Linked DNA regions of Schizosaccharomyces pombe. Changing the gene in region 1 together with any one later gene gives a genetic interaction. Each region holds a gene or a part of one and is shown on either strand. Other genes may lie near its edges.

Region 1 (6,451 bases):
ATTACTCAAATCATCAAGGTTAAAGGAGTGTTGCTCATAAGCCATAGAACGCGCATTGGGGCTCGAAGGTCCAGTAATTTTAACAGACGACCTAGAAGTGCTTGAAGGTCGTCTAGATACTGGACGATCAGGGAAATCAAAAGAAGACCTTACGCTACCAACCCCTTCCGAAAAATTTGTATCAAAGGCAGATATATCCTGAGTACCAGTGGTATGAGTACTATTTGCGGTTGAAGTACCAGCTGTCTGACGGAAACTAGCGAATGCATCATCAGCCAATTTTGCTATCTCTTGTTCCCTAGGGTTATGATGAGAACTAGTCGTAATATTAGTATGACTAGTAAGCTGTGACTCCAACTCATTTAGATCAGGATAACGCTGGTTAACAACTTCCTCAACGTCAACGTTATCGGCATCGAGTCCGGCGTTTGGTGAACCATTATCTTCTGTAACCTCGCTAGCAGAAAATTTTGAAGATGTTCCCGTGACTCCCTGAGATATTGGGAAGGGATTCTTACTTTGAGGTGTGTAGACTTTGCGACCACTAGCTCCTGAGCCAGTTACAGAACTTGATGAAACAACCTTCGGAGACGAAACACTCTGTCTGTTCACATCTTGAGTGTTGTTAAATGTTGCGGATTGGCTGTGGATAGAAGGATGTGCACTAGCTTGAGAAGTGCCAGAGAAAGTAGGTTGCAAAAATGGATTAGGGGAAACGGTTGGTACAGTCGGCACATTTGGTACGTTATAGATAGGAGCTGGCATAGGAGGAGGAGGGGGAGGTCTTGAGCCCTGAACCTGTGGAGTCGGCATGACTTGGTTTCCAGCAAACGGTGTTGTTGTTGTTTGTCGAAGCAAAGACATTATTTTCCGGTTATGCAAATCATAAAAAGACGACTCTCTTCCACTGTATATATCCCTAAAAGGTAAAGCCGTCCCTCTAAGACGACATATCTCACACATCAACTGAAAAATATTTGGACGAAGACAAGGATTCGGCTGAAGTAAAGCGATGATGACATTTTTAAGAGAATGTGAATAAGGAGGAAATGGGGGGAAGGAATATGAAGCTGTTAATATAGCGTTAGGACCTTGTGTTTCAAAAGGAGTTGTATAGTAACAGAGTTTGTATAACAAGACTCCTAAAGCCCACATGTCACTTTTCTCATCAATTCCTAAGCCTGAATACAAATTAATCATCTCAGGGGCACGATATTGGTAGGTAGTAAATGTGTTGATACTTTTTTCTAATGCTTGAATTTCGCTAGAGTTTTCAGCAGCATGCATTGGCTCAGTCACACTTCCAAAATCGCACAATTTAAAAGTATTAAAGCTTAGCAAAACATTTTCTACTTTCAGATCGCGATGAATGAGAGGAGGTCTCAGATAGTGTAAGGAAGCAACACCCTGTACAATATCTGAAATAATTTTTAAGACTTCATGCTCTGACAACCGAGTTTGTAACCTTTGATTCATAAAATCTATCAATCCACCCCCAGCGCAGTATTCCATCAAAAGCAGGATTTCAAATCCAGTGTTGACACCCGCTTTCTCGAGAGGAAATATGCAGGAGTCGATATACGAAACCACGTGGGGATTGGATTTGAGTAGTTCCTAATAAGTTAGACAAAAAAATCAATAACGTTAACATACCATCGTTTCGATTTCAGTTTTCACGAAACGCAGGGCATTCTCGTCTGGAGAATACATGCGTTTCAAAACAGCAGTTATCGGTGATCCATCAGTTTTGGAATTTGTTTGAACAAGATATACATGAGAAAAGCCGCCTAATGAAAAATGTTAGTAAAATAAATCTTTCATTGTAATACTCCTCGATCCATCCAACCCAAAAATTATACCTTCGGCTATGTACTTTTCGATAGTAACATTGTATTTTCCAATTACAAACTTGGATCCTGCTAGAAGCTTTTCGCCCGTGAGAAAGGATGCAACAGACATCCTAGAGAGGTTTTTTGTTCAATACTGGCTGAAGTCGCGAGGTTATTGTTTACACTCTCGCAATTCAATGGGACAGCATCCGAAGCCCTATCTACGTTAGTTGTAAATTTATTATAATAACTTACTCTTTGAAAAGGCTGTATTTACACAGTTTTGATCAAGATGAGCAAGGGATGCCAATTCTGCTGTTGGCAAGGTACTGAGCCAGTCACCAAACACCACAAGTCCCTTCTATAGGGTTAACCTTTGAGCCATTACCGATAGATAAAACCGCCCCCCACAAGACAACTTGCCGTATTTTGAAAATTTCAACTACAACTTTTAATAATTTGAGCTGATTAAGAAGAGAAATTAATTTTACAGTATACTCAAGTTCACAGGCAAACTTGTAGAATCAAGTTGAGTAACATCGTTACCCAAATTTATGACATGGCAAATTCACAGACATATAAATCCAGAAAAGAATAAAGAAAACAGAAACTGCTAACGACTATGTTCATTGTAACTAAATATTAAATCATGAGGGAAAAAAGTATATGGTCCTCATAAAAATAATTTATGAAGAGATTAAAATCGCGTTGCTTGAGTTCGTATTCTCGCATACGATCTTGCTGAACGATGGACACTCCGAGTCTTACTGTAACTTCTTATGACTAATGAGCTTTTTTTTTAAATTTGATCTTTGTTTAGCTATACATGAAACCGCTTTCTCAGATAAGAAGAGGTCTCAAATTTTCAACATTCGACGTGATTAAACGAATTTATATAAATCAAATGAAGTTAAAAAAAAAGAAAGGATTTCATAAAAATTCGTAGCTCACCTTACACACATTTGAACAAATACAAGCTGGGAACTTTTACTGAAGTCAATAACTTATTTTGCTAAACGAAGCTTATGTTGTAATTAACGAATGCTTAATTACAAGCTGCACATAACAACGATTCGCAGTATACTGAATAGTGAGAATCCGTATACAGAACGACTTGTTCGAGTTTTGAAAACAACGTCTCTGCGAAAACAAAAACGACATAAATCGTTGTTTTTTGTCTTTTGTAATATTTTAAACCCAAGCTATAGTAAGTGGTACCAAAAAGTAAATGTAATTCTTGGATTTGCGTCTGGTGATGGTTGCATGGAATACGCGATGACATCTTGTTCTTTTTTAAATTACAAATCGATTGTTAGTAGCAAAGCTAACCCTTCCAGCTAAAACTCATAATGACTTCTAATAGAAGTACTAGAAGCTCAACTAAAAGAGAGGAGGTCTCAAAAAATGGGGTTGAAAAAAGAGAATTAGATGAATCAGATGTGATGAAAAATGGCAAAAAGCCGGTTAAACGTGCAAAGGTCAGCTCTCTACCCAAACCCGTTCGTGTCCCAGGAAGCGCAAAGCGAATTAATAAGATACCTGAACTACCTACGGAACGATTGAACGTTTACGTCTTTGGAAGCGGTTCCATGAACGAGCTAGGTATGGGCGAAGAAGAAATGGATGTCGTTTATCGTCCTCGTTTGAATCCTATTTTATCTACAGATAAAGTAGGAGTAGTCGATTTGGCTGTTGGCGGCATGCATTCTGCAGCCCTTTCTCATGACGGTCGCGTATACACCTGGGGAGTTAATGATGACTATGCCCTTGGTCGTCTTACTAAGGATCAAAAGGATGAGAATGGAGACAAAGTTGACAATGATTTACTAGAGGGAACTCCTTCTAAGGTCGAAGGTGCTTTATCTCATCTACGCGTTACAAAAGTTATATGTAGCGACAATCTCACTGCAGCAATAACGGACAATGGCTGCTGCTTTACTTGGGGTACTTTCCGTGTAAGTAATTTGTTTTGGCCGTGAAAAATTATCATTTGATCTTTGATTCCAAATTCAGGTGCTGTTATCGTTGCAGTGTTGTTTATAGTCTATTGACTCATTGTATCATTTCCCTTCGCCCTTTTGGAACAAATGGCTTTATAAATTTATCATTTTTCGTTTGCTAACATACTAGTGTTCCGATGGTGTATTAGGGTATAGCGATTCTCAAAAACGTACAGCTGAACCGACGCAGATGCGACTTCCCGAAATTTGTCAATTAGCTACAGGGACGGACCATATTATTGCCTTGACTACCACAGGAAAAGTATATACATGGGGTAATGGTCAACAGTTTCAACTGGGTAGACGTATGTTAGAACGTCGTCGACTTCAAGGCTTGACTCCTCAACCGTTAGCTTTAAAAAATATTATTTCAGTTGGAGCAGGATCGTATCATTCTTTTGCGATTGACAACAAAGGACGCGTTTATGCTTGGGGCTTAAATATAACCAGACAATGTGGAATAGAGGTAGAAGATGAAGAAGAAGGCGCCGTTATTACAAAGCCTACACTCGTTGATGCTTTAGAAGGATATAATGTTAAGTCTATTACAGGTGGTGAACATCATACCCTAGCCTTACTTGAAGATGGGAGAGTGTTAGCCTGGGGTCGAGATGATCGTCATCAATTAGGAATTCCGGATAATGCACTTCCAGAAACAGTAGTTAAAGATGAAAAGGGAAACAATTACTACTTGTCAACCCCTACTATAATCCCAGGACTTACTAATGTTATACAGGTCGTGTGTGGTACCCATCACAACTTGGCTGTTACCTCAGATGGTAAGGTTTATTCATGGGGATCTGCTGAAAACTACGAGGTTGGTCAAGGTGATAATGATGAAGATGTAGCTGTTCCTACATTAGTTCGTTCCAAGGCAATCAAGGAAGTGGCGATCCGTGTAGCGGGTGCAGGTGGTCAATTTTCCATCATTGCTGGTATTCCCAACGCTTCCGAAGAGCCAGTTGCAAATGGCATAAAAAGCGAACCCGAAAATGAAAAAAAATTAAAAACCGAAGAAACTTCCAAAACGGATGACTCTCCCGTTACTGATGCAAAGCCCGATGTCACCTCTAACGGCGAACCATCTACCGCTACATCTGAATCTAAGGATTCTGTTCTCGAACCCAGCTCCACCACTGCTTAGTACTTAATTTCTCAATTTCTTTTAACTATTTTTGGGCTAGATAAATTATTTTGAATATCAATGTGTTTGATGCATACAAAATTCATGAGTTTTCCAAATGGATAAAAAAATCGCAGATTTGCTTCAAGAGCTTCAAAGCTCCTCCAACGTAACGAGTAATCAGCTTGAAAATGTAGACAAATCATCCATCCCTCTATCGAAGGCTCGGAAACCCTCTGATTTTGAGTTGAACAATTCTATAGAGGACGCAGAAAAAATTAAAACCTATCCCGCTGCCTTGAGGTACATCTTTGCCCTAAATTCCCGCCATCCCGAAAAGTTACAAAAATTAAGAAAGATGAAGGCTATGCAGGAACGTCAAGAGCGCAACTGGTCTCTGGAACGGCAGCGGCTAGTTCAACATTTTGAGTCGAAAACTAAGCTTCAAGAAATACTGAAACCGCTTTCCTCCGACCCTAAATTGAAACAACCGTCCAATTGTCTTAATGACCAGACCAACAATGATTCCGCTCAAACTTTAGATGACAATAGGGCTTTACAAGAATTTGATGAACAAGTGGTACAATTGACAAACAGGATGTACAAAGAACAGCTTGCAATCCTTGCAGACCTGAAGATACCATTGTTTTTGTCAGTGAATAATGATGAAGAGTTATCTGAAGATCAGAAGCGCCTCTTACAATTGTTACAGGATCTCCTTGGAGCCTAATAAAGTATAGATTGATAAATCCTTTCTGGTTACAATGTCGTTGTTGTTTTCATAAAAGTTTCTTTGTACAGATATATGGACACCAAATTAATAAAAATTTAAAATTACGAAAGTAGCTGAAAGCTGTCAGATAAATTTACTATGTAGATAAATATATTGATCTACCAAAACAAAAAACAATTACAAAAAACAATAACGAATTGGATAATTTGTTCTTACTATGGTTAAGTAGAACTTCTAAAATGAAAATGGCTGAATACAAAGAAAAAAACATAAAACGACAGTAGCGGTATCCAGCCTAAATGCAAATCCCAATAAAACTAAAAGAGCGGACGGTAACAACTAAGTATATATGTACAAAAAGATTCTTCGCCATACAACCAAGGACAAAGACAATTAAACTAGATAAACAGAGAAAAACAATTAAAAGTATTACATACGATTTTCCCTCCGGCGATCAAGTGTATGGAAAAGCTTCATAGATGAGCTTCTAGACAATGAATACGAACGAGATTTGATTCTTGGGGGTGAACCAGGATCCACCTCGGAGCTTTTCATGTTTGAAAAATTTGAACTCGGACTATTGGAATAAGTGGCACTAGAATGACGACTAAAAGAGCGCCAACGCTTAATGGATCCATTTCTTGGATTAAAAGAATTAATCCTAATGGATGTCGAGGCTATAGGAGTAGGTGCAGCAGATTGCGTAATTAAAGTAGAAGAAGTATTTGGAGAAGTAGGCGCAGCTACCAGAGGAGGTAGTGAAGAC
Region 2 (6,141 bases), 460 kb from region 1:
ATTTACTTCAAATGCTTAGATGATAGGCATTAACAAAATTAAACAGACAGGCAGTCAGATTCATACTTTGGATATTATATGCATTACAGTTTTAAAAAAATTTAATAAACATTTTCGTTAGAAGAATATTATAAAACTTAAATTAACAACTAAACATTCACTTTCGAATACGATCTTTTAGAAAACCAGGCTTGCTACACAATAAGAATCTTCGTTAAGGTTCCTTATTCGCATACTGTCAAACCCCTGCTGAGATGTTCACCTCTTTGGATCGAAACCTTTACGTTGATAACCATATCACGTTGACGAAAATGGACTATCAAAATACGGAGACAATTGCCGAGCAGGAAAGGAATGCTAGTAGGCTACCGCAGATGTTTCAAATGTCTTCGCATCCTGTAGCTCTTTTCTTCTTTCTTTTATTTCGTACCGGTGCAATTGTGGCATACATATTGGGCATGTTCTTTACCTCAAGTTTGTAAGTTTTTAATAGCAGAAATTTAAAAGAAAAAGAAATTGAGCTAAACAAATAAAAATAGTATGTTGTTGTTTATTGTAATTTTCACTTTGCTAGCTGTTGATCTTTGGACTGTTAAAAACGTCTCTGGTCGTTTACTAGTTGGTTTGAGATGGAGAAATGAAACTGGAGTTGATGGTGAAAGCATTTGGATTTTCGAATCGGCAGATCCCAGTCGTCCCAGAAACGCCGTTGATCAGAAGACGTTTTGGTACGCTCTCTATCTATATCCATTTATTTGGATCATATTGGGGATTGTAGCTATAATTCGATTTGAATTTCTCTGGCTTGCACTCGTTGCTGTCGCAATTGGACTGACAAGTGTTAACACCGCTGCTTACAGTCGTTGTGACAAAGACGCGAAGCGTCGTTGGGCTACAGAACTTGCAGATTCCAATTCTTCTGGATTTGTTTCCAGATTTTTATCTAGGGCTTTTATCAAGAGATTTATTGGTTAAAGCTCTTTCAAATTCTGTAAATAATTTTTCGAACTACATTGCATTTTAAGCTCATTGTATATGAAAAAGCTAATTTCATGGGATTCTGGCTTAACGATTTGCTTGTTAATTAAATTGACGAAAGCGCTGGAACGATATTGTGTTTTTACTTCCCAACTTTGAAATGACAGAGCGTCAATTTGAATCCTTAAGCATCAACTGATTACGTATTTTTATAATACAAAAGCCAAAAGACTGTATGACGGATCCTGTATTTTAGTATGAGTTTATATAACCTCCCATACTGTTACTTTCAAGCATATATCTTCTTTTCTGATTGAATATTTGAATAGAGCCCAATGGTTATTTTTAGGTGCACATTACGTTCTTTTATTCATACATTCTTTTATGGTTAATACTATCACACAAAGTTTCATGAAGGCCAACTGAGATCTTTTGAAACCCACTACATTTATTTTTCCATTGATAACATTCTTAGTTAGACTTCAAATATTTACGCATGGAGTGCTTAATAAGATACCGATGAACGAAACTTCAAAGTTTGGTGCTACTTTTTATTTCGACAACTATGTTCCTGCGTGTGTTTGCTGTGAACTTAAAATTTAATACTTTCTTATTAGTGATGAACATATATTGAAACGAAGTTCTTATAACAGCATAATAAAAGCGGAAAGAATATGTAATTGTTAGTTTCTAATATACATATTTTAAATGGCAAAATATGTATTTAGATGATTCCTTTACTAAAGAGCATATCATTTTTTTAGTACATATATAAAGCATTAGCTTAAATGTCAATTATAAATTCAAGGATATGCGGTTTCTTACACGATTCGCAGAATTTCGGTTTTCATATGCTTTATGTCAACAAACCTCCCAACTATCAAATAAGGAGAACCTTTTATAACTCCTTAAAAATATTAAGGTATTGAATGTCCTAATGAACGCCCACATGTTCACTGTCTCTATTGGCAATATATAATGGAAGTCCCTGGTTTTCTATTTTGTTCAACACCACATTTTGCACCTTAAAAGATAGTTTAAGTGGAAAGGTGCACTTTATAACATTCTATAACGTCTTTTATTTTCTATTTACTTTTTTTTTTGCTTGCCTAAATAAATATTGAAATATTCAGTGGCCAGAAAACCCCGATGGAGAATGTTACATTTTCCTTACCATTAAATTTTTGATTCCTGTTTTTTTATTACCGCAGCAATCATATTTTACCATATTCCTCCTTTGTATATAATAAGTCTCCTACAAATATTTCCTTTGTCTTATTTGTTGTTTTTATTTTGAGTACTGCTTTATTTATTTAGATTCGACTTTATTGTGGTCGTTTTATTTCTTTTTTTTGGTTTTATTATTAGACCACTGAGGTACTAGTTTTTTGTATAGAATCTCCTGTTACAATTATCTGTTTTAAATGGATTCCAATACAAATGAGAATAATTCTCATGCATCATCAAACGAGAGACAATCATCTGAAGGGCATGATGACTATTTGAATCGTAATCCAAACAGTGAAGCAACTGAGGGTGAAGAAGGTACCCACCCTACCACGGGGACTCAACCAGTTGCTTTTTCAATTGGTACAATGTTTATCATAACTCCTCAAGCCAATTTCGAGGGTGGAGAAAATGATCCGTTTGCCAATCCCTTTCAACCACCCGTAAAACGCGCTGTAAAAGAAGCCTGGGATTCTTTCGAACCTTTGTCTAATGACCAACTGATGGATTTGACTTGTCCGATCTGTTACGATGATATGAATGAAAATGATGAAAAGCAGGCTACCAAGATGCCATGTGGCCACATATTCGGTAAAAATTGTTTACAAAAATGGCTTGAAAATCATTGTACATGTCCTCTTTGTAGAAAAGAGGTTCCCCACGAAACAGTAGGTTCAGCTCATCCTCCTATTTTATTTATCATTCCACACTCACATACGCTTCGTGGCAACCAAGGCAACACCGCGGTTTCTCAAGAAAATGCATCAAATGGTGTTCATTCCGACTTTCATCCATCTGAGGAGCTTAACAATGCAAACACTGATGGTCGAACCGGCGTAGACGAACCAGCTCGGCAACTGCATCGCATTGCTTTTAACCGAATACGTTTTATTCTAGCTCCAAATCGATCTGCCACCAATACCCCTGTTGAAAATACTCACCCTGAAAACCCTGACTCAAACACCTCAACACCTACTACTCGTAGTGAGCCCTTAGCAGGAGAAGGTGCCTCTATTGATGCCGAAAATGCTAGCTCTAGACAAGAGACTACTCCTTCGGATTCTCGTCCTTCGACGCTTACGTCCTTATTTAATGCTTTCTTTTCATCTATGCCTGATCGCCCTTCCTCTAATGAACCTATGACTTCGAATCTTACCTCTAATTCTGGTAGTATGACGAATAGTACTTCCACAGACTTGCCAACTAGTAACTTGCCCTCTCAAAATGCTCCAGCTAGACCAGTTGAGCCGTCACCTTCAATACAGCCTCCCAATTTGCTAAATCTTCCAACGGCTTCGCCTGAATCAACTTCATGGCTTCCTGGAAGCCAAACAAATATCCCTGCAAATACGAATCGATCTGAAAGGCCTTTTACACAGTTAATGACGTTCCATGGTCTTCCTTCATTAGCCGATTTACCAGCTGTTCTTGAGTCTATGTTCCGTCCTAGCGGTAATAATAACCTGCTTAATTTAAATGGAATTTTCCATCCCGATCACAATGCGCAGACTGAAAACGGTCAAACGTTGCCAGAGAATACTGACGACACCAACAGCAACGCTACGTCCGCAGTTCCCAATCTACAGAATTTAAATCAGCAAAATGCTGTAACTATGGGTACAAATACACCAAATAATGGTTCCTCCCCTGCTGTTCATCCAGTAATTCATATATACTTGTCGAGACCGCCTTTACAACCTGCAGTTAGCGAACAGGAAACTCCTTCTGAAGCGGTTTCAAGGGAAGGTACTAGAAGTACAGATGCTACGATGGAAGATTCAAGTAGACCTCCAAGCAATGGCTCTTTCCAAGGTCCTGGTATTACCCATCTCAGTGAAATGGGGCAGCGCATTTTGCAAAGGTTTCAGGAAGAAATGGAGAATCGAATGAATCAAACTAGAAGTGAATCGAGCACCCCTGCTCAGCAATCAGCTGCTGGAAGCAGCATTAATGTTGACACTGCCGGGCGACAACCTTCCGATGAGATAAATATTCCTGGCGAATACGAAAACTCGAGTGAAGTTGCAGGATCACGAAATCAAACTCCTACCCATTCTTCCATTGCTGTAGACACCTTGAGTAATGTTGCGGTAGACCAGCCTGCGATATCCACTCCGTCGGACGTTGTTGGTAGTGATGCCGGTGATACTAGCAAGGTTTCGTCGGGAACTAGCACTCCTCGAATGGCTGCTCCGATTGCTAGACGATCAAATCGGCATCATCCGTATAGCAGACCTAGCTCAACGCGTCCTCAGTGTCAGCTTGAGGATCAAGGCATTTGTGATCCTAATGATAGATTTGTGCACTTCGAATGCGGTCATTCAGTACATGAAAGATGCCAGCAATCTACTAGCAACTCCGAAAATCAAATGGACGAAGAAATTGGAGAATGCCCAAAATGTCGTAATGAAGAGCATAAGTAATGTTTGTGTTTTTTTACTCTTTTGTTATCTTTATCATGAAAAATATAGTTGTTTGTTTATTATGCCTTTTTAAATCTTCAATACAAATTTGGTGATGTCCCTTTAGAGTATCAATATTTCATGCTATATAGATTTTTATTGTTTTTGTATTATTTATATCTCAATACTTATCATCTATATTATTTGCTCTCCTATAAACTAAATGATTATTTGACTATTACAAAAAATCTCATTATTTTTTTCAACGTTCATTAATAGTTTTGTTTGGTACCAAGGAATTTATTATTATAAGATTAAATGACTCAATGAGTTAAAGAATTAAAATATGAAAGATAGCGGATGTTGTAAAGGTCTCCTAAATTCTAAAATGCCACCCAACATGGGATCGTCTACACCAATAAATAAACTGTCGCCAGAAGATGAGTAAGCGGTTCCGGCGATTTCTCCAAAAAAGTCAATAACTTGGGATGTATTAAATAATTTAGTATCAAAAAGTTGAACAAAATCGGCTTGTTCCGTGACAGCTAAGCTTTCACCTAATGGAGAAAAGCACAAATTCGTCACAGCACTCATTTGGCTACCTAGATTTCGAAACGACTTACCAAGGGCACGTATGTCCCAAACTTTAGCCGTTGTATCTTGTCCTCCAGTAGCCAAAATATTTCCATTTGGATGCCACGAACCAGTAAGTACAGAGTCGGAATGGGGAAGTTTGGCTGAAACGGAATTTGATCTAATATCTATTAACATGGCGTCTTTCGAATCCGTGCATACAAGCGCTAATGGAGTTTCATCAAAAAGTTGGACGCAGTTAACAGCATTTGAACACCTGTAAACAAGAATGGGGCTAGTACGCTGGACATCTTCCACATAAACAGCACCATCATTACAGCCAAGGATGAATTTTTTTTCGGAAAAAAGTTGAATATGATTAATCGAATCATCTGAAAGCTTACGAGTACTAAAACTTCCGTTTTTAAAATTGAAAATACAATATTGTCCATACAATGTTCCCAGACATCCTACGGCATTTGTAGTATCCAAACATGATATCGCTTTTTTCTGAAGGATATTATTCTTAAGGTCAATGATTTGAACAGAATTATCATGCAATGTGTTTTCCATTCTGATGCTGTTATTGCTCACATAAATGACAGAATGCTCACCAACCACCTTTACGCTTTTGCAAAGATGGTGATGATTCCGCAAGCAATTAGGATTTTTCAAAAATCTTTGAAATTCATAAAACGAGTCTTCAGCGGCGACTTGTACAGTATCTAGCGATAGCTCTTCGGGTGACCAGTCTGAATGATTGCAAGACAGGCTATAAGTGTGTAATCGATAAAGACGAAAGTTTTTCCGTTTACCAATTGCTTTATTTCCCCAGGGAATTCCTTGAAAATCCACTGTCCCACAATTATCGGTGCTTTTTGGGTTCAATTCAAAATTTGATGCAGTGGGGAATCCATAGTGGTCTAACTGAATTAAATTCCGGTTTCCTGTATACCAAGAA
Region 3 (3,980 bases), 2.2 Mb from region 1:
TCGACATTTTAATTACCCTTATACATTTTTAAACGATGAGCCCTTTGATGAAAAATTTAAGGAAACCATTCTTAAACTTACATCTGCGAACGTTGAATTTGGAACGCTTGAAAAAGATACTTTTGGATTTCCTGGTAATGTTGATGTAGATGCAGCGCGTGAAGCTATTGCAAGTCAAGGAGATCGAGGTATCATGTATGGTGATACAGAAAGTTACCATCATATGTGTCGCTTTTTTTCGGGGTTCTTTTATAAGCATCCGTTGCTACTCAAATATCAATGGTACTGGCGAGTTGAACCCGACGTAGCTTTCACATGCGATATATCTTATGACCCTTTCTACTACATGGAAGAAAATGGGAAAATATATGGTTATGTTGTAGCATTAAAGGAATTAGAAGACACTGTTCCAAACTTGTTTCGATATACCTCGGCTTATCGTCGAAATAATAATTTAACCTCTAACATGTGGAAATTCTTTTTGGATGCTCCTAAAAAGGAAAACTACGATATTTCAAGAAAAGACCCTACAGTAGGTCTCTCCTTTTCCTCTCATTTAAATGCTATGATTGACTCATCATATTCAGCAGAAACATCTTCAATGGAAGGGGAGTCCTATAATATGTGTCATTTTTGGAGCAATTTTGAGATTGCAAATTTCAAGTTCTTCAGAAATGAACAGTATGAGAACTTCTTCCGTACAATGGATGCGACAGGAGGCTTTTGGACTGAAAGATGGGGAGACGCTCCATTTCACTCTCTAGCTGCTGGACTGTTCTTGTCGAAAGAACAGGTTCATTATTTTCGTGATTTAGGATATCGGCATTCTGACATTCATCATTGTGGACAAAGTCTGGGTTGCAATTGCGAATGCATTCCTGAGTTATCAGAAATAGAATCTACTTCTGGAGGTTGTGTCACCCAATGGGTGAATTTAATAGGTGATGGATTCTTAGATGAATGAGTTTTGATATCGTAATTGCATTCTCACTTAATATGCTGTTTTTTTTTCTGCACGGACGATTTACTTAACTGCAATTAATGCCAGAGTTAAAAGCTAGGGCTTACAAATATTAATTTTTTGCTTTTTTTTATATCATCTGTCTTTCACGTACCTTTTCGGATTGTTTTACTTATTTTCCAAGCTATCTAGCTGTTGAACAAACGTTTGAAATTTAATTGATAAACACTGGTCTTTTTATTCAAAATAGGTGATAATCTTACTTTAATAGTTAAGATTTAATGTAAGCATCTTTTATTTATGATGAGTATTTTTTGACAATCATAAAATAGAACAACACCGAACAATCTATGCATAACGAAGTATAAAATGTATACACTTCAAATAGTTATAGAATGTGTAATGACTACAAATGAAAAAATTTTTAGCATCTTATTGATCAGTAAAGAAGTTATACAAGAGACTAGTAGCTTTAAGGCAAAGATTTTATTAGCAAATGATTTTTTATAGATTCCCGACTAACACAGCACCCATTTCCAATATGTTTGTTCGAATACCGAGTTACTGTATATTATAATTTTTTCGTGGTACACTCTTCCTTCCATCAGCACAATACCACAATGTCCGCAGAACAAGAAAAAAAGACTCAAGGAACTACTAAAGAAGAGCAGAAATCTTCTTTTGCTAGTGAAGACGTTGCTAGCAAGCAAACAGAAGAAGCCAAAGCTGTTTTTGGTGACGGTGTGGCCAAACAAGAAAACAAGTCTGGTGCCTCCACGAACGATGAGAAGAAGCCAGCTGAAGGAGATGAGGATGCTGAACCAGCTTCCCCTGAGGTTCACTTTGAGCCTATTGTCAAATTGAGTGCAGTCGAGACAAAAACTAATGAAGAAGAGGAGACTGTCGAATTCAAAATGCGTGCTAAACTTTTCAGATTTGACAAGGCAGCAAGCGAATGGAAGGAACGTGGAACTGGTGATGCTCGTCTCTTGAAACATAAGGAGACTGGAAAAACTCGTTTGGTTATGCGTCGCGACAAGACTTTGAAAGTTTGTGCTAACCACTTATGTATGTCCAATTAGATTAATGGTTGCATTTCTAGACGTTGAAAAGACATTATGCTACGTGTTGTTGAAATACTTTTTCTTAATACATTAAAGCTCACTGTCCTTTCGTGTCTTGACTATTTCTTTTCTCTGGTTTCTCAGAATGTAGTATCTGAATACTAACTTGTTTTTAGTGATGCCCGAGATGAAATTGACTCCCAATGTTGGAAGCGATCGTAGTTGGGTTTGGACCGTTGCTGCGGATGTTAGTGAAGGAGAACCTACTGCAGAGACTTTTGCTATTCGTTTTGCAAACTCAGAAAGTAAGTTTTTTTTTGGTAGAAATACCGATGTTTTATCAATCCAGTTGATATTAACAAATAACCCTATTTCAACTGTGGTACTAACCAAACCTCGTTAGATGCCAATCTCTTTAAGGAAAACTTTGAAAAATACCAAGAAGAGAATGCCAAAATTCTCAAAAAAAATTAGTTTATATCGTCATTTATTCTGGGCTTGCTATAATAGAATTAACTTTTTTCCATCTTTTTCCTTCTCACGGTAAAGTTGATGAGTTGCTGTTGAATTTCTATGAGTCTATTTGCAGTTCTTTTAGGGTGGTATAAATATCTGAGAAAATACGTTAAAAAATATTTAAAATTCAATGAACGTCTATGTAAGTTTAACCATTGTAGAATGAAATGTATCGTACAAAGGTAAAGTTTAGCTGGTGCATGGAGCAAATGCATATTGTTTATTATAGTGAGTTGTTATAGGAGTTGAAAAATAATTTATCAATAATACTATGAGAAATGGTTTAATGGTATACGGATCTGTAAATAACTTAATTCAGTGTTTCAAATTACCAAAAAAAAAAAGAAAATGAGTGAATGAAGGAGCTCTGTAAAATCTTGAGTTCAAGCTGGTACGTTTCGATCCGAAATGAGAAGGGAGTTTAGACTTTTGAAGTAAAGTATGCATTCGGGATAGAGGTGACTTTTCAATTCGAAGAAAAATTATTGGCAGCTAGTGTATAACAAATACAAGAATTGTAAACGAAGTTAAATTAGACGAATTATAAGTCATCGGCTCGAAACAAACTGGTCCAATTTAAAGCTTTTCATTTCGAACGTGAAAAGCAAAAAAGAGTTTGCAAGAAAAGCAATTTTTGGTAGATTGCAAGATACTTTCAATCATAAGTAGAAAACTATGAATCCTTACAAATGCCTTTTTATATTAAGTCTTGTCATACAAAAGAAAAATTGATTGATGGGCATTTCCTTGGGAAAACAAAGCTGTATTTGCTTGACAGTTGATTGATAAATTGAATTAGTCAAGAGCCATCAAAAAATTGTGCTTTGTATATTATAACATTTGTGAAATCACAACGTTTAAGAAGAGCAACCCCATATTCAAACGGAAACTAGCAAGTTGAAGTATTTTTTAATCTTACTAAGCATTTTCACTTTCATTAGCATAAACAGAACCCGAACGAGTTAATCCTTAACAACAAATTGCTTATGATGTTTTATCACGCTTGCGGCAATTCATCCCTTCTTTTCGCGCAATATTGCAATTCAAAAATTATATTTTATCCAAGAATAAAATTTCTGGACGGGATTGAAGAAAACATCGGTAACAAGCTTAGTAAGATGATTTTATCAAGACTCTAAACTACGATAAATTAGAAAATGCCAAACAAAGCGCCAGTTCAGATTTGCGTCTCTCAATTCAACTTTAAATTTTGACAAGGAAAAATAATGTTAATAAAAATAAAATTCTAAAAAGTCTTTTACTGATGCGAAGGCTTAGGATCGTTCAACAAATCCTTTCATGTTGCCAAATGTAACACCACCGCTTGAGGTGCTAATGATTGTAAATCGGCCGCTCCAAGGATTGCTTACATGAAATAAAGACAAGTTTAAGATTTTTACAAAACGGATGGGGCGGAATCTTACTCATCGTTAGAAAAA

What was found. A genetic interaction does not mean that the proteins touch.
Region 2: of pim1 (region 1) and san1, a mutation in one rescues a mutant of the other (synthetic rescue), as found in Schizosaccharomyces pombe (one study listed by BioGRID).
Region 3: of pim1 (region 1) and sbp1, extra expression of one is lethal in a mutant of the other (dosage lethality), as found in Schizosaccharomyces pombe (one study listed by BioGRID).

What each region holds. Positions count from the first base shown.
Region 1 is NC_003423.3:2,487,556-2,494,006, reverse strand, and holds pim1 (RCC1 family Ran GEF), read left to right. Parts: upstream 1-2,971; 5' UTR 2,972-3,036; exon of another isoform or gene 3,037-3,166; 5' UTR 3,167-3,178; coding exon 3,179-3,784; exon of another isoform or gene 3,785-3,959; coding exon 3,960-4,973; 3' UTR 4,974-4,988; downstream 4,989-6,451. Other genes in the region: Ark1/Prk1 family protein kinase Ppk29, read right to left, coding at 1-1,614, 1,654-1,787, 1,860-1,959; SPOM_SPBC557.02C (uncharacterized protein), read left to right, coding at 5,071-5,682; Rho-type GTPase-activating protein Rga5, read right to left, coding at 6,115-6,451.
Region 2 is NC_003423.3:2,951,303-2,957,443, reverse strand, and holds san1 (RING finger protein), read left to right. Parts: upstream 1-1,985; 5' UTR 1,986-2,402; coding exon 2,403-4,628; 3' UTR 4,629-4,849; downstream 4,850-6,141. Other genes in the region: putative transport protein Tvp23, read left to right, coding at 312-478, 540-975; SPOM_SPBC2A9.03 (WD repeat-containing protein), read right to left, coding at 4,947-6,141.
Region 3 is NC_003423.3:294,755-298,734, reverse strand, and holds sbp1 (Ran GTPase-binding protein Sbp1), read left to right. Parts: upstream 1-1,564; 5' UTR 1,565-1,581; coding exon 1,582-2,029; intron 2,030-2,201; coding exon 2,202-2,330; intron 2,331-2,428; coding exon 2,429-2,499; 3' UTR 2,500-2,688; downstream 2,689-3,980. Other genes in the region: alpha-1,2-mannosyltransferase Omh4, read left to right, coding at 1-964. UniProt on the Schizosaccharomyces pombe protein: Stimulates the GTPase activity in the presence of RNA1. May potentiate the action of RanGAP1 (RNA1), thus playing the role of a negative regulator.